Linked DNA regions of Xenopus tropicalis. The protein of the gene in region 2 interacts with the protein of the main gene of each other region in a pairwise test. Links are inferred from orthologs where the notes say so. Each region holds a gene or a part of one and is shown on either strand. Other genes may lie near its edges.

Region 1 (4,114 bases), on a different chromosome or scaffold from region 2:
TTGTGGCCCCCGCCCACTTTTTCTAACCTTGAGTCGAAGTCACCCAATGAGAAACAGTGGGCACCCTGGCATAAATAGCGTGAGGATGGCAGCATTTTATATTAAAGCCAATGAAATTCAATGGATGAAATCTGATTGGCTGTTAGTGGCCCAACCCTTTTTTCCTATTTTTGAACTGCAGTCCCCCAGTGACCAACTCTGCTTTGGGGATTTCACCATTGAAAGTTGGTGGCTCCACCCACTTTTCCTAATCTTTAACCTTAGTCCCTAAGTAAACCCCAAGTTTGGGGACCCCCAGAGTTAATACTGTGAGACTGGCAGCAGGTTAGATTTCCCCATTGAAAGTCAATAGGTAAAATCTGATCGTAAAAAAAGCTGTTCGTAGCTCCGCCTACTTTTGGGGATCCAACAAATATCAATTTTCATTCAGGCTGAGCCCATGACTATGTGATTCAAGTTTGGGGTGTGTGGCCCCAAATCTGTAAGATTGGCAGCAGTTTCAATTTCCCCATAAAAGTCAATGGGTGAAATTTGATTGGGTGTTGTTGGCTCCTCCCACATTGGGGTCATCCAACTAATGTAGCTGTTTCATTCGGGGTGACCCCGTGATTATGTTATTCACGTTTGGGGGGTGTAGCTTCAAAGCTGTAAGTGCGGCAGCAGTTTGAAAATCTTCCCTGTCAAAGTCAATGGAAAAATTGGGGGGTTTGGAGCGGCGCCACAAAAAGACGGGGGGCGGGATCACTTAGAAAAGCACAAGCAGCCTGCTCCGCTATAGGGCGAAGATGTGTGGGGAGTTTGGGTGTTGTACCCCTAAAACTGTAGGAGGAGTAGCGTTTAGAAAACCAACATAATAAAGTACCCCCTGTTGACTAATATAAGGATATTAGGAATCACCTCAGAGTTCCATGACCTGTATAACAACCCTCTGCCTTCAGTCTCATCCCTTTATATGGAACTCCTCTGTGACTTATAAAATCCCTTCATTTTACAACAGGGGGTACTTTATTCACTACATATATTGAATACAAATTAAAAAAATATTGTAAAATATTAAATTATTGTTTAAAAGGGGAGGGACTGCCTCCCGGGGCCCCCCAGGCAGAACTAGCGCAGCCCCAGCCGCTACCTCAGTACTAAACATTACGTCACTGGTTTAAGGGCAATTATCGCGGGATGTTGGGAGGGAAATCCCGCAAGGCTAGAGCGGGTTGCTAGGCAGCCGAGGGGAATGCGGAAGTCTCGGGGGATAGGATTGTGGTAGTCTCGCGAGAGTTGGCTGGGCTGCGCCAGGCTGGGTTGCTAGGCTGCGGGGCGGAGGGCGGAGCTCGGTGACACAGAGGGGCGGGGATGTAGCAAGCCTTGCCCCTCGCCTCCCCACACTCCTCCACAATCCGAGGCCGGAGGCGACTCATCCCCCCGGGCCGGGGTCCCGGACCCTTCGTACGGATTATTGGATCGGCTGCTGTCAGACTCCCGGGCTGGAACCGCGACAGCGTCACCTCCGCGGCGCTCTCTGCCCCCTGTAGGCTCTCCCACAGCTCCCTCCGTACGGACCGAACCTCCTGCAGGAACAGCCGCAGCGTACGGTACCCCAGCGGGGCTCTCTGTGTCCCTGCAGCCTCTCCTGCCTTCCCCGCTGCCTCCGCTCAACCCCCCGCAGCCTATAGGGGCCCTGCATCCTGTGGGGAGCCCTCCGGCCCCTGGGGAGCCCTCCTGCTCCCTATAGGAACCCCCTGCATCCTGTGGGGAACCCCCCGGCCCCTGGGGAGCCCTCCTGCTCCCTATAGGAACCCCCTGCATCCTGTGGGGAACCCCCCGGCCCCTGGGGAGCCCTCCTGCTCCCTATAGGAACCCCCTGCATCCTGTGGGGAACCCCCCGGCCCCTGGGGAGCCCTCCTGCTCCCTATAGGAACCCCCTGCATCCTGTGGGGAACCCCCCGGCCCCTGGGGAGCCCTCCTGCTCCCTATAGGAACCCCCTGCATCCTGTGGGGAACCCCCCGGCCCCTGGGGAGCCCTCCTGCTCCCTATAGGAACCCCCTGCATCCTGTGGGGAACCCCCTGGCCCCTGGGGAGCCCTCCTGCTCCCTATAGGAACCCCCTGCATCCTGTGGGGAACCCCCCGGCCCCTGGGGAGCCCTCCTGCTCCCTATAGGAACCCCCTGCATCCTGTGGGGAACCCCCCGGCCCCCCATATAGCCATAAAGGATTCCCTTGTTGGAGCTGCAGTGTCTCTGTGCCCCCCCTGTGCCAGCTGTACCCCCTTTCCTCTCTGTATCACATAATAGCCTGCACCCCCAAATAGCTGAGGGGTTCTTTGTATGGTTAGTATTGCAATGTCTTCTGCCCCCTGACTGTATGATTTGCCCCTTAGTTACCCGTTACTGTCCCCTGCTGGGGTCCCTTGTGCCTATCACTGTACCCCCAGTCCTGTCTCCTATCTGCCTGCACCCCTTCTTTGTAAGGGAGATCTGTGCACCCCTCCTTCTCTCATGTGATGCCAGGTCCCCCCTTGTGTGATGTGCACCCCGCGCGCCCCTAAATAACTGGTTACTGTTCTTCTATTTCTCCCCCTCGTACCCCAGTCTGTCATCTCCACTTGTCAGGTGCCCCCCAGGATCTGCACCCCATAACTCCTAGCCCCCCACTCACTGGTTTGGTGCCCTATTGTCTTTCACTGCATCTTGGGGCCCCCGCCACCTTCCCCTTGGGGCCCCCGCCACCTTCCCGTTGGGGCCCCCGCCACCTTCCCGTTGGGGCCCCCGCCACCTTCCCGTTGGGGCCCCCGCCACCTTCCCGTTGGGGCCCCCGCCACCTTCCCGTTGGGGCCCCCGCCACCTTCCCGTTGGGGCCCCCGCCACCTTCCCCTTGGGGCCCCCGCCACCTTCCCCTTGGGGCCCCCGCCACCTTCCCCTTGGGGCCCCCGCCACCTTCCCCTTGGGGCCCCCGCCACCTTCCCCTTGGGCCCCCCGCCACCTTCCCCTTGGGCCCCCCGCCACCTTCCCCTTGGGCCCCACCGCCACCTTCCCCTTGGGCCCCTGCCCTTTGCACGATTCAGAACCTTTGGGTTCGTTCTTACTCCCCCCCGCGCCAAATTCTTCCTCCTCGGTGTCAGATCCCAGAGACATTTATATAATCCCCCCCCCCAGCTTTATTCTCTGCATTTATTCCCTATAATTCATAATTTGTTCTTTGCCCCCCCCCCATTCTTCGCTTTGCACCCTCTCTTACCTGCACCCTCTTATTTAGTGCCCCCAGTTCTACCCCGGTCCCCCCCCCGCGCGGGCTCCAGTATGAGGGTCCCATTGTTACCGTTGGGGCGGCTTCGTTGGACAATCCATGGGAACTAACGGATCATTTGGGAAGCAGAACCCCCCCTTGTGCCGGCTGATCAAGAACCCAGTTCCTCCCAGCTCACTGCAGAACTCGGCCCTTATATGAAGGTAAAAGGTGTGTAGTTTCCTCGCTTTATTCCCCTTCACCCCTCAAATGCTTGCTGCACCCCCAAATTGTGTTTTTCAGGGGGGCAGTTATTTTATAGAAAATGTTGTGCATTAAGTATCATTTGGGGTGCAGTTCTGTCCCAGTTCTAGTAGTTAGAGGAAGAATGATCCAACCTGTGGCCCTTCTGAATGGCCTGGGGCCCTCCTGCTGTTGGGGGGTGATTGTGCTACTGGAGGGCCCCAAGTTGTGCCCTCAGCCTACTATACAGTGGCCCCCACTCTGCGGGCCCCGGGTAGTTGACCCGGTTTGCACCTCCCCAGCAGTTGGCTGGAAATAGATTGCAGTTGGTTTCTATGGGCAAAATAGGTCATTTCTACAAAAAACCTGTTTCTAGGCAGTTCCAAGCAGCGGCGACGGATCCCTCCCCGAGGGCTTCCCGGGATGAGCAGCTGGCTTCCCTTCACTGGGTCCGGAACTACATTTCCCAGAAGCCCCTGCTAGCTGTGATTTATAGTTCATTTAGGGGGTAGCCCATATTTTGGTGGAAATCAGGGTTTTTCTGTTGCTTTCATGTACAGGTATGGGATCTGTTATCCAGAAAGGTCTGAATTACAAGAAGGCCATCTCCCATAGACTCCATTATAAGCAAATAATTCTAATTTTTAACAA
Region 2 (4,060 bases):
TCTCCACCAGGCAAGAAAAAAAAACTGCATGGATTTTAAGAATGCTAATTAAAATATGGTAGAAACATTAAAAATAAAAAAAATGAAGAAAAAGTACTGTATTTTGTATGGGTTCCAGGTAATCCAGTAAAAATATAGTGTAATTTATACTCAAAATGTATACTCAGAATCATTGCAGATGTGTCATGCAAACAAGTAGCACTGGAACACACAATACACACATGTAAAAGTGAAGAGCACAATCTGGTCTTTATTCCCACAACTTAAACCATTGGGTGACAGTGTGAATGTAGTATGTCCTATTCCACATACAATTAACAAAAAAAAAAAAAAAAAAAAAAAAAAAAAAAGAGAGAGAGAGATGGCCCTTCACTACTCTGAAATTGGGCCACACTTGCTAAGAAAATTATCCATGTGTCATGGACAAGCATGAATTGTTTCCACTGTGTGCTAAGGGGACTTTTATAAGCAAAATGATTCATGATTTTACAAATTAACTAAACGTTTCTTATTAAAGTTACGGGATTGGAAGAAACTGTTTTACGAGTTTCAGCAACTGGCCCACAATATTAATTGTATCACTATAAAGAAAATAAACGCTTATCTTTCAGTCCACAACTAAATGACTTTCCCTGCCTGCAGCTGCTTCCTGTAGGTTTGAAGGGAAATGTACTACCAATGGTAGACTCTGGCGCTGCCAGGTCAGGATTGCATGGGTATGCCAGTGATTGTTCCCTATATGGTAGTTCGGGCATTTCTCATATAAAGTGTGTGCCCAGTTCCAAAGTAGTAGCTGCTTAGCGTGCACGAGGGTTTTGTTCCTGAAAGGAATAAGGGTACAAAATGTGCCCAAATTCTTAAAGCACAAATCTGGACAATAAACTCTTTGGTGCTTGGACTTAGATCTTAATAATTGTGCATAAAAGCACAGTGGAAGACCTATATAAACAAATAAGTTGAGTAAAGATGATGTGACAATATAGTTTCCCACAAGCATTGTCCCATAAAATAAGGAACTGTAATACTGGGGAATTCCTCAACACATTTTAATTCCATGGGGGGGGGGGGGGGGGGGCAGAATGAAGCAGCAAAGTTAAATGAAAAACAAGATTTGCGGAACCGACTGATTTGTTTGTTGTAAATTCAAATTTTACCTACGTTTGGCGCAGAGATTTTGCTTGGGGTATGTTGCAATAGTGTCTTTGGAAAAAACAAAGATTGAGCCACAGTGCAATTTTTATTTATTTTTCAGAAAATCAAAGGAAGCCATTCAAAGTGCAACCTAGACTATGAATCAGTGGTTTCTCATTTGCTATCAACACTAAAAGGGATTTTTACGGATGCATTCACCAAATCAAAAGAAAAACCTTTTGTTGGATGTTCCTGTTTAAGGAAGTTGAACACACACTTTGAGGTCAGGTATGCAAACCACTAACACAACTATTTCCTATGAAATCACGGAAAGCCTCTACATAATTGAAATATGAAAAAAAACCAGTCTGCTCACAAACTTACAATTTTAAATCCAACTCCTTGTTTGCACTATAATGACCTGGGAGCAGTTGTCCATTCAGTAAATCTGGAACACAGATGACTATGAGGCCTGGACTGGCAATCTGTCTATTCCAGTGATCCCCAACCAGTGGTTCGTGAGCTACATGCTGCTCCCCAACTCCCAGTGGCCTCAAAGCAGGTGCTTATTTTTTAATTTCTGGTTATGAGGCAAGTTTTGGTTGCATAAAAACCCAGTGTAATGCCAAACAGAGCCTCCTGTAGGCTGCCATTCCACATAGGGGCTACCAAATAGCCAATTATAGCTCTTATTTTCACCCCCAGGAACTTTTTTCATGCTTGTGTTGCTCACCAACACTTTTTCCATTTGAATGTGGCTCACAGGGATAAAAGGTTGGGGATCCCTGGTCTATTCTGTTAAATGCCAGAGGGGCTACTGTGAGTTGCCATAGACAGTCACTATCAAAAATGTTACAAGTTCTGTGTAATTAAAAACCAAAAACTGGGCTACCACTGCGCCCCAACTAAACAGGGATATAACATGGCTCTAATTCTAAGACTCAGTGACAAATGGCATATAATAAGGATGGACTGTGGCTCTCAAACTAATTGCTCACAAGCTCAAATGCCTACAAATGAGTTTAATGCCCCCAGTGCACCCAATACCGGAAAACCTTTGCATGCATTTCATTTTTCTATATTATAAATGTATATCTATATATATCTATATCTATATATATATATACACACACCAGTGTTTAGTCACTATGAGCAGTTTGGATAAGAGAAATAAATGCAAAGGGAATAGGCCCTCGGCTTTCTGCTGTAAGTGCCTGGCAGCTGCGCCTCTACAATTCACTAACACATGCAATGCAAAATATATTCTATTTATCGGTATTAGTGCAGCCGCCCCCACCTCACATGCGCTGCATGTAGCCCCTACTCACCAGTCCCACTCTGCCGGTTGTTGCTGACGCTGTTGATGATATAGTGGGAAACCTTGGAGTTCTCAGAGACAGACAATACGTAGTCACCAGGTATAGTTGTGGAGTCTCGAACTAAAAACACACCGTGCCGCTGGCCCTGCAGAAGATTGACCGCCTCTTGTCTGTTCAGCTTGCCCCAGTACCAGCTCGCCCGGTCCTCGGAGTCGAAGTTGCCCGCCATGGCTTTCCTCCCCCTATGGGCCTCTCCCTAGCGCCCCGGTACTCGATACTACCACCGGCTTAAGGCGGCAAAAGACGCCGCCCCCAAACCAGACGCGGCAACCAGTCTTCTAACTACCGATCCCGACCTCACCAATCCCGAAATGGCGGCACAGGAAAGATCTGACCTCACCTTCCGGAAATGCGTCATTGGAGCAGCGACTATGGAGCGCAGGGGGCGGGTTCTCTTGACAAGTTAGAATTCTGACTTTTAAAAAGCCGTGTTTGTGCTTCTTGCCGACCAAAACTAGTGCGCTCCCATTCGGTAATCAGGCCGCTGGGTGAAATGAGCCGTTTTAATCACGTATTTGTCAGTTTCTATCTTAGGGTAGACTAATCAAAACTAAACTACTGCTGTGATTGGTAACACCAACATTTTACTACTGGCGTAAATGAGCACCACTGTCTCATTTGAGTCTTGGAAGTGAATATTAGATACGTGGTAGGGGAAACCTTTGCACGGAATAAAATACATATATGTATGCCTGTTGTGAACAGTCGCAGGTTTTATCTAGGCAATGGCAAGGTCCAAAGGTCCATTACTCCAAATTGGTGGGGGATCAGGGCCAAGAGCAATATAGATTGTAAGCTCTATGGGGCAGGGACCTCCATCCTCTTGTGTCTTTGACTCTTATTGCAACTGTATTTATCTTGTATCTATCTGTATTTATTGTTATACTTTGTATTTATCTATTATTATCTTAATAATCCCCTGTTTGTATTAATGTATTCTACTGTACAGCGCTGTGTACATAAGTAGCGCTTTATAAATAAAAATATACATACAATGCAATATGTCCAGAGCCAAAGCCACTATTCATCTGTCCCTGATTCTTTATAACTTTATTGTAATAAAATGTATTTTAGGGAATAATGAACCATCTGCTAAAATTAAAGGATGTTAGAAGTCAGCAAAAAGTTTTATGACCTTATGAAAGCAGCAGGCCAATATATAGGGACTCCATCTTACATCCTCATCATGTTATAACAGGGGTTTTTATAATACACAACACAATATACAACAATATCATAATATCAAATTATAAAAAAAAAATCATGGCTCTTATGTAAATACTAAATAGTAAATATTGCCCCCTATGGTAAAATGTAAGGATATTGTAAGTATGCATGTATATCTTTATTTATAAAGCGCTACTTATGTATGCAGCGCTGTACAATAGAATAGATAAATACAAAGTATAACCATAAATACAAGGTACAGTTGCAATAAGTTAAAGGAGACAGATCCTATAAAAATTATGAATGTACCAGTGAATTATACTCCTCTAGATATAGAAGGATTGTGCTTTAAAAAGTTGTGTTTCCTGCTGATCTATTGAGAA
Region 3 (4,021 bases), on a different chromosome or scaffold from region 2:
GAAACCTCAGGAATGCTAAGAACTCACTCCCCCCCCCCCTTAAGAATGTGGATCTGAGCCAATCAGCAGAAAGCTGACTCATAGTCTAACTAACTGGGCATGTACACTTGGTCTGGATCTTGGTGCAGGAGCGAGGCATTATGGGAACTTTCTTTACACAGCCCAGTGTTTTTTCTTCCTGTTTGGCTTCTGATCATCTGAACAGGTGAAATATGGGGAGACTTAAGAGCACTATTGAGAGAACAGCAGCTTGAGATTAACTCTTTATTAGCCTTTCCTTCTCTTTTAATTTCTATTTCACCTCTTTTTACCAGTCTTATGCTTAGAATTATTGTCCTAAAAGACTGATGCACTCTTCAGATTGGAGCATAAGATATTTTATCTGGCAAATCAGAAAATACTTTTTTAATGAACTATGAATACGTCAGTCCCATGTAACAAAAAATGGGTGCAATTCACTATTTCTTTGCACTTCGCACACAGAGACATGTGGCCCTTTCATTTATACAGTGTTCTCCCTGCATAGGGCAGAAGTCTGTATTCAAGGTAGCAATGTGTGTGTGATTGGTGCAACTCTGACAGATTTTAGATCTGTCCCATTTAAAACTGTTGTCTACAAATGCACTGTTAGGCATGGTATATCTGTTTGATCCACAGGCAGATGCCCAGATGGCACACCAATATTATAACTAAAAAAATAAATTTTTTGGTTTAAGAATGACAGAGTGAATTATTTGCTATATAAACAGTGTCATTTAGAAATAAAAAGTACACTAAAAATCATGACAGAATCTCTTTAACATACTAAACTGTCACTTTTAAAAACTGTGTGAATAAAAAGTTGATTCAGAATAAGCAAACATTGTGAGCTTTCTCACGAAATTCTTTGTACACATCACACCACAATTTGTTCTGTACACTGGGATTAAAATATGAAGGAACATTGATAGTAAAAGAACCATGTAGTGCCTCAGGAATGCCTGTGGAGCCAGAGGAGCCGCAGCCTGCTGACGTATAGTTCCACAACCCATTGCCTCAAGACCTCAGAAGCCCTCTTCCCTGCAATGTAATACAACCTCCTTCCACAGAGAGCGCAATGACAAACCAAAGACGTTTCCACTGAAGGTCCTCTCTAGCCGCCTATGCGCAGAGATTCGCTTCTCGTTTGTTGCTTAGCTCCCCTAGCGGCTATGGCCCTTCCCGGCATTCCCTATGAGCAGCGGCTTCTCATCATGGCGGACCCACGGGAGAAGGCGCTGCAGGATTACAGGAAGAAATTGCTGGAGCACAAGGAGATAGATGGCCGGCTGAAGGAATGTGAGTGCTGGGTGAAACCCCGGGAAGTGTTCATCTCAGTAAAGCTAAGCTCAAGCTGCTGTTCTGTGTGAGCGCTTCATACATTTCATGCCCCAAGTCGCTTTGTCATGGCGGCCTGGGCCTTCTGCTGTCTGAAAGAAGCACAGTGTGGACACAGCTGTATAGGGGGTATCTGAGGATTTTATTCATGCTTAAGCCATTTTTGCCTTATACGGTAGAAGATGCTGATTGTTATTAACGCGAAAAAGCCGCACTTCGTGTTGAAAAGGTGCGATTTGTGCGTTTCTCTGCGGCTGATTCTGTGTACAGAGCAAAGCTCTGGGATCATGACACTTGGTACCTATTTAGGCCGGTGACACAGCGATACCGTACAGTCGTCTCCCCCCATAGGGATCCAGAAACTGCACCGTTTTAGCGCAATTATTGCCGTGTCACTGACCTGTTCCCTGTCACTGACCTGCCTCATTCGCTGCTGCTGTCACTACAGACTAGATTTGCTCACAACTGCAATGTTAATAATTGCACAGATTGGACAAGTATTTATTTACAGGTCCCCTCGTTCTAATAGTCACATATTCTTGTGCTGTTTTTCTCAACGGAAACCAACCAAAACTTTTCCGATTTTTTTGAATGCTTATGGATATTGGCTTCTGTTTCTGTGCTGTGTAAACCCCTCAGTTTTTTATATAAAACGCAGCTAAACCTTTTTATTTATTTATTATTGTTGTGCAGTTTGAGTCCAGTCAAGAAGCAGCAATAACATCAGCATTGTAATGCCTAGTTTAGTCTGATGCAAGTAGACTTGTGCACTACACACAGCACAGTCATTTGCACTGGTGGATCAGTACTGTAAGGCAGTTGCTTGGAGTGCATGGATATTGTGTAAAGGTGGTGATGTCATTCAGTTGTATTAAAGGGGATTTTTGTGATCAAATCAATTTTTACTTTGAATGTCTATACCTACTGAACTGTTACTTCCTATATTTATTATGTCTGTTAACTTGACAGAGGCAGGTATAAGCTCTGGCACCATGAGAATGATGCCAAAAACTCACTTGCTGTCTTTTGTTAGCAGCTGCAGGTGTCGGATTAAGACACTACTTATACTTACACTGCTGCTGCATGCTTTCCCCAGCCACACATCTAGTGGCCAGGCTGCTTTTTCCTAACCTTTTAGATTGTCCCCAATTTTGATTGTTCCCACCCTCCACTGATGTTCAGGGCTGAATCATCAGATATGGAGGTAGAAACAATAGAAATTCAAGTTTCAAGTTTATTGTCATATACAAATAACAATGAAGCATCATTACTGTAATGAAATTTTTTTGACCCGTGTTCCTCCCAACTTTACATAGACAAACAAAACAAAAAAAATACAAATATTAAATATAATAAAAGTGTGCAATAAAGGTACAAGTATTTACAATAATAAAATGCAATATTTGAAATTGTGCAGTGAGGATTTAAAGTGGCTTTGCTTAAAGTGACACTGGGAAGAGTCCAGTAGTTATGGGGAGTGTGTGTTGGTTTGGGTAGAATGTCAGCAGTTCAGAAGCCCGATGGCTTGTGGGTAGAAACTGTCTCTGTATCTGCTGGTGTGGGACTGGATGCTCCTGTACCGCCTGCCTGATGGTAGGAGCGTGAAAAGTCTGTGGCTGGGGTCAGAGAGGATCCGCTGCATCTTCTACCTCTTTCTGCCGATTCAGCCCTGAACATAGATTTTTGGGCGCTTCAATGGCTCCCGATCAAAATCTTTTAACCTGGCCAATCGATGGGTCGACCGATATCCACAGCCTTTTGCAATATCGGTCGCCTCGTCGATCTGCTGTATGTCAAATATTGTACAGAACGAGGTTTCGTACGATATTATCGGTGCATGTATGGCACACACCGATAATATTTAAACCAATTTAGGGAAGTTTAAATCAACTAAAGAGTTTTGGTTTCTATTTAAAGAGGGAGAACTACAACTGTATTTTCTTTTTTTGTAGTAAGAGAACAACTGAAAGAGCTCACCAAACAGTATGAAAAATCAGAGAATGACCTTAAAGCATTGCAGAGCGTTGGGCAGGTACAGCAGAATCTTTTTGTGTAGAAATATTCATGTGACTATTGGTTTAGTCGCAATTGTCTTATTTCTTTCCTTCAATTTTAGATTGTTGGGGAAGTTCTAAAGCAGCTTACTGAAGAAAAATGTAAGTTTCTTTTTATTATTATTTAATACTTAAGTAAATACTTTATCCACACAACTGTTTTGTCTTAGCATTGCACTTAACTATGTTAGCAGACCTTTTAAAATTGCAAACATTTATGGCAATGTTCACCCAAAAACAGCAGAAAGGGATACACAAGTAGTACATTCAGCTGCAGTTACATTCACAAATAACTACAAAACCACTGAAAACAATTAATGTGTATTTGAGCATTGGTTAAAATTATATTTTCCTTTATTGTGTGAGATCCCCTTTAACACATGACAATTAGAATTTGGCATTTTGTATTGAAGTTTTAATCAGAATGTGGTTTTGTGTTTTCAGTCATTGTTAAAGCAACGAATGGTCCAAGATATGTTGTTGGTTGTCGTCGACAGGTAATAAGATTTTGTCTGTTTTTGTTTTACATACTTAAAATGGTCATTAGCTACATGGCTTTTGTATAGATTAAAGCTATCTTAAATGTCCTTATTCAGCTAAAGTAAAACAGG
Region 4 (3,525 bases), on a different chromosome or scaffold from region 2:
AGTTTGTTGTGGGAGAGGGAATTGGACATACAGAACGTAACTGGACTTGGAGTGGTTGAGGGATGGGTAAGACTACATATGCTAGCAGGTACATTGCCCATTAATTAATCTCACTGCCCCCTGTCTTAGCTGGCATTTAACAGACTAGATTTGTAAAGTACCAGCCAAGTGTCAACCCCAAGTTTCAGCAAATAAAATTCATATTCATGGTCATAATTTTTATCAGGGGCTTGTGATTAAATCTATTGAGTAGCAGGGGCTGGCCTGGCATCCCCTTAATCACTTGGGATTCCTTCTCCTCCTATAATCCACTTGGCCCCCTCCCTTAGGTACTGACTTTGGCTCTTGGCTTACTGAGCATGCTCAGTTCTCCTCAACTCAGGTTACCAAACTCACCCTCCAGTCTAGCAGCCAATGAAGAGTTGGCATTGCTGGTTACCATAAAAAGTCTGTTCTAGCTGTGCACTCTGCTGGAGAAACATGTGTTTTCTCCTAACTTCCTCTCCTGAGCTCAGTTTAACCATTACAGTGCTCAGTCCAAGCAGGGCCTTTTGTCAAAGTAAGTTCTGCCCGTGTAAGCCTGCATTCTATATTGCATGAACTTTACAGCACATATGTGCTGTTTGTTGATGTAAATGTCACTGAAGATGTGTGAGAGGGAAAGTGGCTGCTGGTTGAAAGTTGCTATTTGTTTTAGGAAAATGTGATGTTCCTGGCGAACAGAGGGGATATATGCAGTACAAATGGTGTAGTTGGGGGTGAGCGAGATGTGCCCAACTTATATACATCGTAAGAAAATTTAGGGGTTAAATTACAAAGTTTGGACATTCAAGGGAGCCTGAACTAAAAAGTTTGATAGCCTCTTCCTTCAGGTTGTTATGATTATGAGTGTGTGGGGACCACCTATTGAGTGATTTGGCCAATAAAACTCTAGTGCGATTCCCCATAATTACAGAGTTAAGTCAGTTGTTTTACTAAAAGGAGGCTGCAGTCAGTCAGAGCGGACTCAGGACTGGTCCGATTGCCATCTTGGAGTCAGGAAGGAATTTTTTCCCCTCTGTGGCAAATTAGAGAGGCTTCAGATGGGGTTTTTTTGCCTTCCTCTGGATCAACTAGTAGTTAGGCAGGTTAGGTATAGGCATTATGGTTGAACGTGATGGACATATGTCTTTTTTCAACCCAACTTACTAAGTTACTCATAGACCCTTCATGACTCTGAACCATAGTACTGTTGCATCTCAGAAGACCCCCATATAATAAACGCCCATAAAATAACTACACCGAAGCTCTATAATGAGAATATAATCAGCCATTATTGTGCTGAAAATGTTGCTTCCATTTCAGCCCAAGAAAATCAGCTTATCCAACTTCGGGCAGCTGCGGAAAAAGAAATTCGACGAGACAACAGACTACGTGTGCCCGGTGGACGCTACAAACGGTACCCAAAGGGGCTGCGCTGATTTTAAAGTGACGAGCGCGAGCTCCACCAAAGAGAACGACAAAGTGGAGCAGGTGGGCAGACTGGTTTGATGGCATCCGGCATCCATTCCCATAATCCTCAGTGTTTCTCAAATAACTCTGCATCTTCATTTGTCTCATCTTCCTACCCTCACATACATGGCATCACTATGGGGGCGCTGACTTTTATTCCCCCCCATATCGTTACCAAGGCAACAGACAATTCCATAGCATCTTTTTTTTCTCCCAAGAGGCTACAGGAGCACCAAGTAATGCCCCGCCCAGTACGCCTGCGTTCTGCCTTAGCCACAAGTATTTAAATATCCCAATTCCCTATTCCCTAAATATCCCTATTCCAAATATTTTTTATTTGAGTGAGAGAGAAATTGTCACCCCAAAAGATGGTTAAATGAAACTGATGTAACATAGTGTATATAGTTGAAAAAGAAGGAAATTAGGGATATAAATGGAAGTTATGAAAGGTTAATGTACTCTGTGTATAAGGAGGATTTTACATTTACTTTTATTTTTCTATAAATATTCAGTAAAACAAATTTCCATTGGTTCTTGTGCCCTGGGAGTCGTCTTTTTTTTTTTTTAAACCTTATTGCTCCAGTGAGGCCACTTTATTCATAAACCTCAATGATCCAGTGGCCCTGACTTTAGTCTAAAACTGGTAGCGGCATCTGCCCCTATTAGTAGCCCCCATTAAGGACACCCATGTTTCCCTCATCCTTTATATAATAAAGGAGAAGGAAAAGTAGGATCCCTGGTGGGTGCCAGGGAAAATCCCAGTGGGCCCCATCAACCCACATTCAATCCCCGCCAACACTCACCCAGCGATCCCCCACTGGCCGCCTCCCCTGAATGCGGCAAAAGTAAGTATAAGCTGCACGTAGTGGGAGGAGCTGGTGGTGGTAGATCAGGTGACGGGGGACCCTGAGGTAGCAGCCCAGCAGGCCTCGCACACCCCATTGAGACCCTAAATGACCTTATGGTGCCTGGCACCTTTACTTGCTAGTGCTAAGGCATCTCCTGTGTTGCCCCGGGGCAAGTTCATATACACTACAGAAATTTTGTGGCCAAAACCTGTGCATGTTCCCAACATCAATAGGAACAGGGGGTGCCTGGGACTCCACTCTGCCATGGAGCTCACAATTAGTCCCCCCCCTCACAACAAGTCCCCAAGCCAGAACATTTTTTTATAAGAAGAGGCATGCCAACCCAAGGTAGGAGGTAATTGATGAACAACTTGTACCCCCCTTCCCCAGTGATTCTACCTTACTTTCTCCTTTAATGGAAAATATTTTAGACTGAACAATCCAAGCCATCCTCACACACCCCAAACAATAGTGACTGCATTTGCATGGTGTTTGTGTGCCGTGTGTTATTAGAAAAGCATGAAGAGACCTTCCAGGGGAAATATGCACCAACTATGAGTCAACTGCTGGCAGACACTTGGTTGTCCAACAGGGCTCAAGATCAGAGGGGGCTCTTGGGCTGTTAATGCTTTTCCCCTGGCCCATAAATTACTATTTGCTGCCTACTGTACTTTTTGTGTGTGTGGCTTGGAAGGGGCATCTCCCAGGCAACCTGAGTTAACTGTATGGCATGCTGGGAAACATATGCACCTTGCAGGCTAGGTAAAGCACATTAATGGAGCCTAATGTTTCTGTAGTCCAAGAGTTGAAGGTCTACATGTTACATGGTGTTTGTTTCCATAACAAGTTGTTATCATCAACTGAGGCTGCTGTCTAAAATGTGACCGAGAGGGATGCTTTCCCATAGCCAACATGGGAAAAAGAAGTTCAAAGAGGCTCTTTAGTCTTATGGGAACCAATCACAGAGCAGAGACTTAAAGTCGACACCCTGAACATCTCCGCTTCTCTGCCCTCCTTACCCTTTGTGGTAATAATTGTCAGGATATCGGTCGAATCAGCCACCTGGAGTCTGCAGTTTATTACCCAAAATATAGAAATACTCCTCAACCCGTGTCAGTTTCCTATTTCAGCTATTTATAAAATTCCTATTCTACATAATCTTATTTTTAAAGGTTTACTTGTCCTT
Region 5 (3,974 bases), on a different chromosome or scaffold from region 2:
CCTTCATCCAAGCGAGCTTCCACACTGGGCAAGCATTTATGTACAGCTACATCTCAGATGAGATAAGACTGTCATATGGCTCCACGTCATTCAGAGAGAATGACCCAATTCTAGTGATTTTTAAATGCTCTAGCAGATCTGTAGCCTTGAAGCGCGTCATGTAGAAAAATACTTCTTGTTTCGGCAGCTCACACGACTCTTCTAGGTTGTTATAATATTTTTGCACATTAAAACGGAGGCCAATAGAATATAGAAATACCTGTGCTTTCTGCAACTGTTTTTTGTCTGTAATCACAACCTGATTAACCTAAACAATAATACCAGTGCCATTAATGCCTGAAAACACAATAAGCAGAGGAACCATCCCCTTGCAAAGTAGATCTGCTTTAACTGAGATAAGCCTCTTAACACAATATAGTTTAGTATTTTGCATGTATTGCAATTTATGTGCTCACTCCTAAAAATCCATGCCTTGTGCGAGCACAATAACTGTCATATTTAAAAATGGCAACTGTTACTTTTATAAAAGTGTTTCTGGAAGGAGCAGACTGGATCATACTGTTCTCCAGGAGGGCAGGGTAAAAGCAGCGAGGACAGAACCCAGCACTGTGGGGTGGAGCAGTCTGTCTGCCAAATGCTCCGGGCCTGTCTTTCTATCAGCACTAGGCCGTGGTTCAGAACACAATGCCTTGGCTTTAATGTAGGGCAACTTGTATTACTTAGGCCAGCTCTGTGCAAATTCCTAACCACATTCTGTCATTGGTTAGGCCTATTTACATGAATTCAAAGTAGAGCAACAATAATAATAATAATATGGACTGTATGTAGTGAAAGTGCAACATAAGAGCTAAAATGCAGCCCTGTCTGTTTAATTTTGATCACAAACATGTAAGCTCACTAAACATTGAACTACATGGCTTAATATCATTAATAAAAAAAATATATTAGAAAGGATTTTATACCTAGTAAGCCAGGTTTTATGGCTGCTTTCAGGGAAGTGCCAGGGATGCTGGTAGTTGTAGTCCAGCCAAAGAGGGCCGCATGTTGGGCATGCCTAATTTACCTAATTACCTCTATTCAGCCTTCTAGCTTTCTGTATCTGTAGCCCTTCCAGTTCTTTTATGTTCATGAATAATGGAATAACCCTACAATCAAAATAATGGCAAGATTGTGCAAGTGTCTCTATAGTAATCTGGAACCAGGTGGTCTCCATAGAAGAGAAGCAGACTGATAGATCAGACAGTAGGAGGAGGGGACTAAGAGAGGTGACATAAACGTGTGCTCTCCTCTCTCGTACACACACTCACACTGGCTCTCTTCATTACCCCATGGGGAAAGCAATTACTGCAGTCTCCCTATTACTGATCAGGGTAAAACACTCTATTACTCTCAGTTCCTATGGAAAGCAGGCCCCACTCTACACGAAACACAGACAGCGGCACTCATCAAGAACATTTGCACCGATGGTGCACTCCTGGTAGGCACTGCACTATATCATTTCAGCGAACAGAAAAAATACATGCCTGTATCTCTGACTGATTTCACTTATCGCTGCTTCTTTCAGGGGGTATAAAAAGCAGGAAAAATAAGCCTGTGATCTGTAGTTCTGCAAGGCTTACAGATGATCCCAGAGAAGCTTCTGTACATGGAAATGCTATAGTACATGCATGTATAGCACTTGCCCACTAAGGTCTGCATGATCAGAACAGAAAAGTGAAGAGACAAATAAAATCGACTTACTGTAAAGTGCAGTATAGGGGCTTGTTGGATGAAGAGGGTGTCTGAGCTATTGCTTTTTTTTTCCTCCTACTCTGCCCCCCCTCGCAGAAAGACAGGTCTTGTACGTCTCCTCTACTGTAGTAGAAATGATGTCTGCAGTACAGCTCTCTCCCTCTCTCTCTCCAGTATGTAAATGTGTAATAGAAGCCAAATATGGAGCAGTTGGCTGCCTCTGCAACAGCTCAAGGATCCTACTTCATGCAAAAGGGAGGAAGGGGGGGGGCAGAGAGTGTGTGTGGAGGCAAGGCAACACTCTGGCAGACGGCCAAGGCAGCCACACAGATTATTGCATACGCACAACAGAGCTGGGGCGGTCGGCTTTAACCCCTTCTACGTGCTGATCCGCCAGCCTGCCGTATACTTGTTGTATCTCTACAGCTACTGAGGGTGCAGTTTTAAATGTGGGTGTTCCCCTTAAAAGAAAAACAAAGAGGTTTTCGGGATTCTTCTTCAGGATCATTTAAAGGAAGAAAGTGCGAGCAGAGACGTAGCAGCAGCGCGGAGTAACTTTAATACGTGCACACGTTTGATTCCTGTAGGGTGTGTGCCTCTGTTGGAAAGAGAAGAAGGGGTGGAGGAGAGGCAGAGAGTAGGAATTGTAAGGGCAAGCCAAGCTCAATGTCCACAGAGAGGAACAACGCAGACCTTACGTGTTCACGTCATGTAGGAAATCGCTTCTGGCTTAACCCTATCTGTGCCAGCAGGCTGAACAATGGAATTCATTCCACCACATAAGCCTTTTTTCAATAAGGCACCGTCCTATTTGTGTGAATGTGTTTTCCTATCTCATAAGGGAATGAAAATCCCTGAAACTTTCAGCTTTGGGCATACCCCTTCATGTAAAGACGTTTTCTATTACAGCTCACTTCCTGGGTGCTTCAGCTGCTGCCTTGTGGGAAACAGCACCAAGGGCACCTATTGCCTGTGATTTTCTGACTGTTTGTCCAGCAGGTGTCAAGTGTTTGAGGACTTTTCTAACCTGTTGTGTTTTTTTTTCCTCTCTCCAGGGAACAGAGGGTTACTGAAAAGCATGCTAACAGACTCGGTGACCCTGAAGAGTACCCTCTGGTGGTAAAACATAATAGGTTGTGGAAAACACAGCAAGCAGATGGCTTGTTTCCTTCATATATGTCATGCAGTGGTTTTTTTTGTTGTTTCACAGTTCCAATGCCCTGCAATAAGTAACAGCAAACACAGTAAAGTGTACACACGGCTTCCTGGCTGAACATTGCCCCTGGTACAAACAAACAGTCCAGGCTGGTTGTATTAAGCGATATAGAGGGCATCTTCCATCAGCCACCAACACTAAAGGTGGCCTTTGGGGGGGTGATATGAATAAAAGTACCTAAGATGTATTATAAGTCTTTAAGTAGTTAGAAGGATGTCTCACAGTTGTTTAGCTGCAGTACCAAACTGAACTGTAGGTCAAAAATGGGCGTAGGGCCACAGCTTTAAGTGAATATTCAAACAAGCATACAAGCAATATACAAAAAAGTATTAAAAAAGTGGGAAAAAATACTACTCTTTTAATGCATGTTTTTTGTGTTTTGAACTCCTCCAAGGTGTGTCTTTAGCTATCTCAGTTTAAGACGGAGTGAGCATCAGTGGTCCATACTGAAGAGAGAGAAATGGGAGCAACCAAACGCGGATCAAGATGTGGCATGCATTAAAGACTGGATAAGGCTGACCTGCTGGGCCCACAGGAGCCATGACAGATAAGCTTATAAGCTTTTACAAAATATGTACAATACTGTTACATGTATTGTTATTATAAATTACCCTTATGACTTTTGAGTATTTAATTGCAGCATGTTAACTGCTGATTAATTGCTATTTATTTGAATAGATCTGGAGCAAACTTTGCACCTATTTTCTTCCATTTCTCCTAACAGATACTAGTAATAGGTATATATAGAATAGATAGGTATATATATAGATAGATAGTATAGTGGTTTAGGTAATATTTGGCTATTTTATAACCATATTGTTATTCTCCAGAAGCAGAATCGGATACAATGTAGAAGAATGTTGAAATAAGCTTGAATGCTTAGAATGCTGAGAAATAAGGTATTTCATAAACTGTCAAACATAAATCTCACAGGTAAAGTATCGATAAATGTAACTATTACTCAATAACATTTATGTATATGGTGCAGTAATAAATAATAACTAGGGACTATTTGGAGGAATGTCTT
Region 6 (3,525 bases), on a different chromosome or scaffold from region 2:
GAAATCATCAGACCCAAGGGTAATGTAAACTTTACTTTGCTGGTTGGTTTCCTTGCTTTTGCCATGGAACAGTTAATGTGACAATGGCACCTTTTCATTTTTCTGTTAACATTCACTAGACCTGCCTGTACTCTCAAACATACGCTATATTTCTAAAAAGTATCCGAGCACCTGACTCGCCAATATGTCTTTCAAAATTCAAAGGCATTATTATTAGTGATGAGTAAATCTGTCCCGTTTCGCTTCAGCGAAAAATTAGCGAAACACATTTGCCCGCATCCTTTTTGGTTGTCCGCCCTTTTTTTGATGAGATCACGCCAAATTTTTCCACAACGAAGTTTTGCAAAACTATTCGGCAATGGCAAAATATGGAAATTTGCTGTGAATCCATGCCTGGTGAAAAAATTTGCTCATCACTAATTATTATGAATAGTTTTTCTCTCTTTGCTGTAATAGTAGCCTCTACTCTTTGTGGAAGGGCTTTTACTTCAAGAGCAGCCACAATAGCAAAATACTGAGATTAGGCATTGCTGTTAAATGATCATGCCTGACTTGCAGCTAGCATTCCAGTTCATCCCACGTGGCTTCAGTTCAAACTAGTCAAGTTCTACCACTCCTATTTTGGCAAACCAGTTTTGTACAATTCTGCGTTGTGTGCTTCAGACCTGTTATAGTAAAAATGTCAAGGGGTTTTCCCATGTCTCAAGCATGGAATTGCCAAGAATGTCACATATTTTGTATTGTTAAAGGAGAAGGAAAGGCAAAATCTATTAAGCACACTATTAAAAAGTACTACTATTGCTGTGTAAAAACGCTATATTCCAGCGTGTCTCTATGGGCTGAAAAGCACAAGCCAGCTCCCTGCTCCTGTCACAAAGTTTCTGCAGCTCCACAACCCCCCCCCCCCCCACTCCTGCCACAAACCCCCCCCAAGCTCCACAAACCCCCGCTCCTGCCATAAACAATCGGCGCTCACAGCACCAGCTCGCCCTCCCCCTCCTGCCTGTCAGAGAACTCTGCGACGCTGGGTTGCCTAGGCAACCAGACGCTTCTTCTCTCTGCCCACGCGCTGCCTGCAGTAACGAGTCTCTAAGTCTTGGGAGAGCGATGTAGTATGGGAAATCTTCTCTACCCAGCTCAGCGTTTTTTTTTCTTTGTTTGGCTTCTGATCTTCTGAACGGCTGAAGTATGGGGAGCCCCCCCCCCCCCAAAAAAAAAGATAGATATTTTTTATTGTTGGTATTAATAATACTGTCATTCTTCATTTCTTTTGTAAGGAAAATTATATTTTAATAATTTTAATTTAGGGGTTTTACCAGTTTATGGCAGGTGCATTGTGTTCTCAAGCATCAGAGTTGTGTCTGCAGCTTATCCGTAGGGGACAGTGAAAATTGGTATTGCAGGTTGCTTTTGAACATGATATCCAATTTGAAAAATCTCTCCAAACTATTTTGTTTTATAATGTGCATTGCAATTCTATTTCAGATTCAGTACTCAGGATTTATTTTTCTTATTTTTTTTTTTTTTCAGAGACTTCAGGAGGAATGGCATACAATTCAAAGCCTAGCACAGTAGTGCATCTCAAGTCTGAATCCTCCCCCTCTTTTAATGGCTTTAGGAAGTATCCTGATGCTCATTTCTTTAGTAGTCAAGGGAAAGGTCCGTACAAGCAAGAAAGACCAACGAGCCAGCCTAGACAATCTTCTTCTTTTAATGCAGGGCATGCCACAATTCCTGAATCCAAGCAAGTGGCCAGGGTGAAAAACAATTTTTCAGCTGGTTATGATACAGACAGTAGTCAGGAATACAGAGAAAAACCAAACTCCAGAAATAAAAAAACTTGGAAGCCTATGCGGGAGACACTTAATGTGGATAGCATTTTCAATGACACTGATAAAAGCCAACATAGCCCAAGACATTTAGTAGGCTCAAATGGAAAACAATCTGCCAGGGATCATAGTTTTAACCCACCATCAAAAGAGAGCCCAAAACGTAATACTCTGATGACTATCTTTGAGGATGAGATAAAACAGGAATCTGGCAGCAGGAGTTCCTTGGAATCATTAGGAAAAAGTCAAGCAGATCGGAACAAAGTTACTGCAGATATGAAGATGTACCACCTTGACAACTGGCAGAGAACTGAATCTGGATATGAAAGTAGCGATCACATCAGCAGCGGGTCAAGCAATCTGGATTCACCTATTATTGAAGGGATTGGTTTTGCTGATGGGAGGGGCTTGCAAGAAACCAGCCTGTGCAGGTATGCAGGTTACATTAACAATACAATAACAATATCAAGTTCCTAACATTTTTACTTGATAGAGAACTGGCTGAAGGATAGATTACAAAGAGTGAGGGTAAATGGAGCATTTTCTTATTGAGCCAGTGTTGTTAATGGAGTACTGCAGGGATCTGTCCTTTGCTTTTTTACTTGCTTGATTGGTAACCTTGAGGTTGGCATTGTAAGCACTGTCTTATTGTTTGTTCATGATACTGAAATGTACAAAACTTTAAGCTCTATGCAGGACATTTTCAGGATTTGACTAAACTGAAGAATTGGGCAGCAATGTTGATAAGTACTCTTTGGTAAAAATAAGAATGCTAATTATATACATAATAGAAGTTTGTTGGGGGTCCTTAATTGAGAAGGATTTGGATTTGTGGTAAAAAACAGCAGACTTTGCTGTTCAGTCAGTATCTTCTAAGTTTAATAAGCACTCTCTCGTACAGGACATTTAAACACTGAGCACAGGTAAAATTCGAATTGCATCATTTCATCTGCACGCTGTATTTTCATGTGCTCCCTTCAGTACAGCCCAGTTCTTATGTGTTCCTGTTCCATTTATATTTATTATGTAGTCTTATGACCCAGCAATTCCCCTTTAAATAAGTAAGTTCATGAAAACTGCCAGTAGAGACTTGCCATTTCATGCCTGTAATACTGACTTGCGCTATTGCTGATTAGTCTTTTTGTTCAGATGCATACTGCATTTGTATGTATGTATGAAAATTGCATTGTTCAGAATTGCTCCAATATATCTGGCATAGCTGTGTGCTTAATTAATGGAATGATATTTCAGCACATCCATCAAACAAGCTTCATTTCCATAAGATGCCCATTCTAAAGCCATGGCAATTAGTGGCATTCAAAAAATCAATCAGGTGATGCCTTAGGCTCATGGTACATGGGTTGATTTCTCTACTGGCTTAAATACACTAGCAGAAACAAGCCTATCCACTGGCCTCCACGCCTTGTATGTGTGTGCCCTGGCAGGCACAGTATTAGCTTGCCAGCTGCACAGTGCTAAAAAGCTGAAGTGTTCATTTTCCTGCTGACCGGTTGATCCCATGCCGTCTGCACACAATTACAAAGGGGTGGAAGGCGGTGGATTGGCCCTTAGGGGTCAGGGCAATAGCTGCTATTGTACCTTTAATAAGGGCTATGACACATGCAGCTACTTGTAATTAGCCATTACAAAATGTATATACCCAGGCATAGACAATACCGAAAATGTTTAAATATAA

Evidence for each region.
Region 1: the proteins of crk (region 2) and ptpn4 interact in binary tests that used the Homo sapiens proteins (3 or more experiments, as listed by UniProt). The link is inferred for Xenopus tropicalis from reciprocal best matches to the Homo sapiens genes CRK and PTPN4.
Region 3: the proteins of crk (region 2) and psmc6 interact in binary tests that used the Homo sapiens proteins (3 or more experiments, as listed by UniProt). The two-hybrid records come from large-scale screens. The link is inferred for Xenopus tropicalis from reciprocal best matches to the Homo sapiens genes CRK and PSMC6.
Region 4: the proteins of crk (region 2) and ppfibp2 interact in binary tests that used the Homo sapiens proteins (3 or more experiments, as listed by UniProt). The link is inferred for Xenopus tropicalis from reciprocal best matches to the Homo sapiens genes CRK and PPFIBP2.
Region 5: the proteins of crk (region 2) and atxn1 interact in binary tests that used the Homo sapiens proteins (3 or more experiments, as listed by UniProt). The link is inferred for Xenopus tropicalis from reciprocal best matches to the Homo sapiens genes CRK and ATXN1.
Region 6: the proteins of crk (region 2) and usp53 interact in binary tests that used the Homo sapiens proteins (3 or more experiments, as listed by UniProt). The two-hybrid records come from large-scale screens. The link is inferred for Xenopus tropicalis from reciprocal best matches to the Homo sapiens genes CRK and USP53.

The regions. Positions count from the first base shown.
Region 1 is NC_030685.2:88,032,540-88,036,653, forward strand, and holds the start of ptpn4 (tyrosine-protein phosphatase non-receptor type 4), read left to right. Parts: upstream 1-1,294; 5' UTR 1,295-1,584; exon of another isoform or gene 1,585-1,589; intron 1,590-3,250; 5' UTR 3,251-3,438; coding exon 3,439-3,451; intron 3,452-4,114. UniProt on the Homo sapiens protein: Phosphatase that plays a role in immunity, learning, synaptic plasticity or cell homeostasis. Regulates neuronal cell homeostasis by protecting neurons against apoptosis.
Region 2 is NC_030678.2:46,102,795-46,106,854, forward strand, and holds the start of crk (adapter molecule crk), read right to left. Parts: upstream 2,808-4,060; 5' UTR 2,680-2,807; coding exon 2,460-2,679; intron 1-2,459. UniProt on the Homo sapiens protein: Involved in cell branching and adhesion mediated by BCAR1-CRK-RAPGEF1 signaling and activation of RAP1.
Region 3 is NC_030684.2:94,536,112-94,540,132, forward strand, and holds the start of psmc6 (26S protease regulatory subunit 10B), read left to right. Parts: upstream 1-1,219; 5' UTR 1,220-1,232; coding exon 1,233-1,317; intron 1,318-3,308; coding exon 3,309-3,388; intron 3,389-3,472; coding exon 3,473-3,512; intron 3,513-3,854; coding exon 3,855-3,907; intron 3,908-4,021. UniProt on the Homo sapiens protein: Component of the 26S proteasome, a multiprotein complex involved in the ATP-dependent degradation of ubiquitinated proteins.
Region 4 is NC_030680.2:16,389,697-16,393,221, reverse strand, and holds part of ppfibp2 (liprin-beta-2), read left to right. Parts: intron 1-1,344; coding exon 1,345-1,512; intron 1,513-3,525. UniProt on the Homo sapiens protein: May regulate the disassembly of focal adhesions. Did not bind receptor-like tyrosine phosphatases type 2A.
Region 5 is NC_030682.2:93,271,133-93,275,106, reverse strand, and holds the start of atxn1 (ataxin-1), read right to left. Parts: upstream 2,808-3,974; 5' UTR 1,741-2,807; intron 120-1,740; exon of another isoform or gene 1-119. UniProt on the Homo sapiens protein: Chromatin-binding factor that repress Notch signaling in the absence of Notch intracellular domain by acting as a CBF1 corepressor. Binds to the HEY promoter and might assist, along with NCOR2, RBPJ-mediated repression. Binds RNA in vitro.
Region 6 is NC_030677.2:70,829,445-70,832,969, forward strand, and holds part of usp53 (inactive ubiquitin carboxyl-terminal hydrolase 53), read left to right. Parts: coding exon 1-19; intron 20-1,530; coding exon 1,531-2,260; intron 2,261-3,525. UniProt on the Homo sapiens protein: Deubiquitinase that mediates 'Lys-63'-linked deubiquitination of tight junction proteins, such as MARVELD2 and LSR, and which is involved in the survival of auditory hair cells and hearing.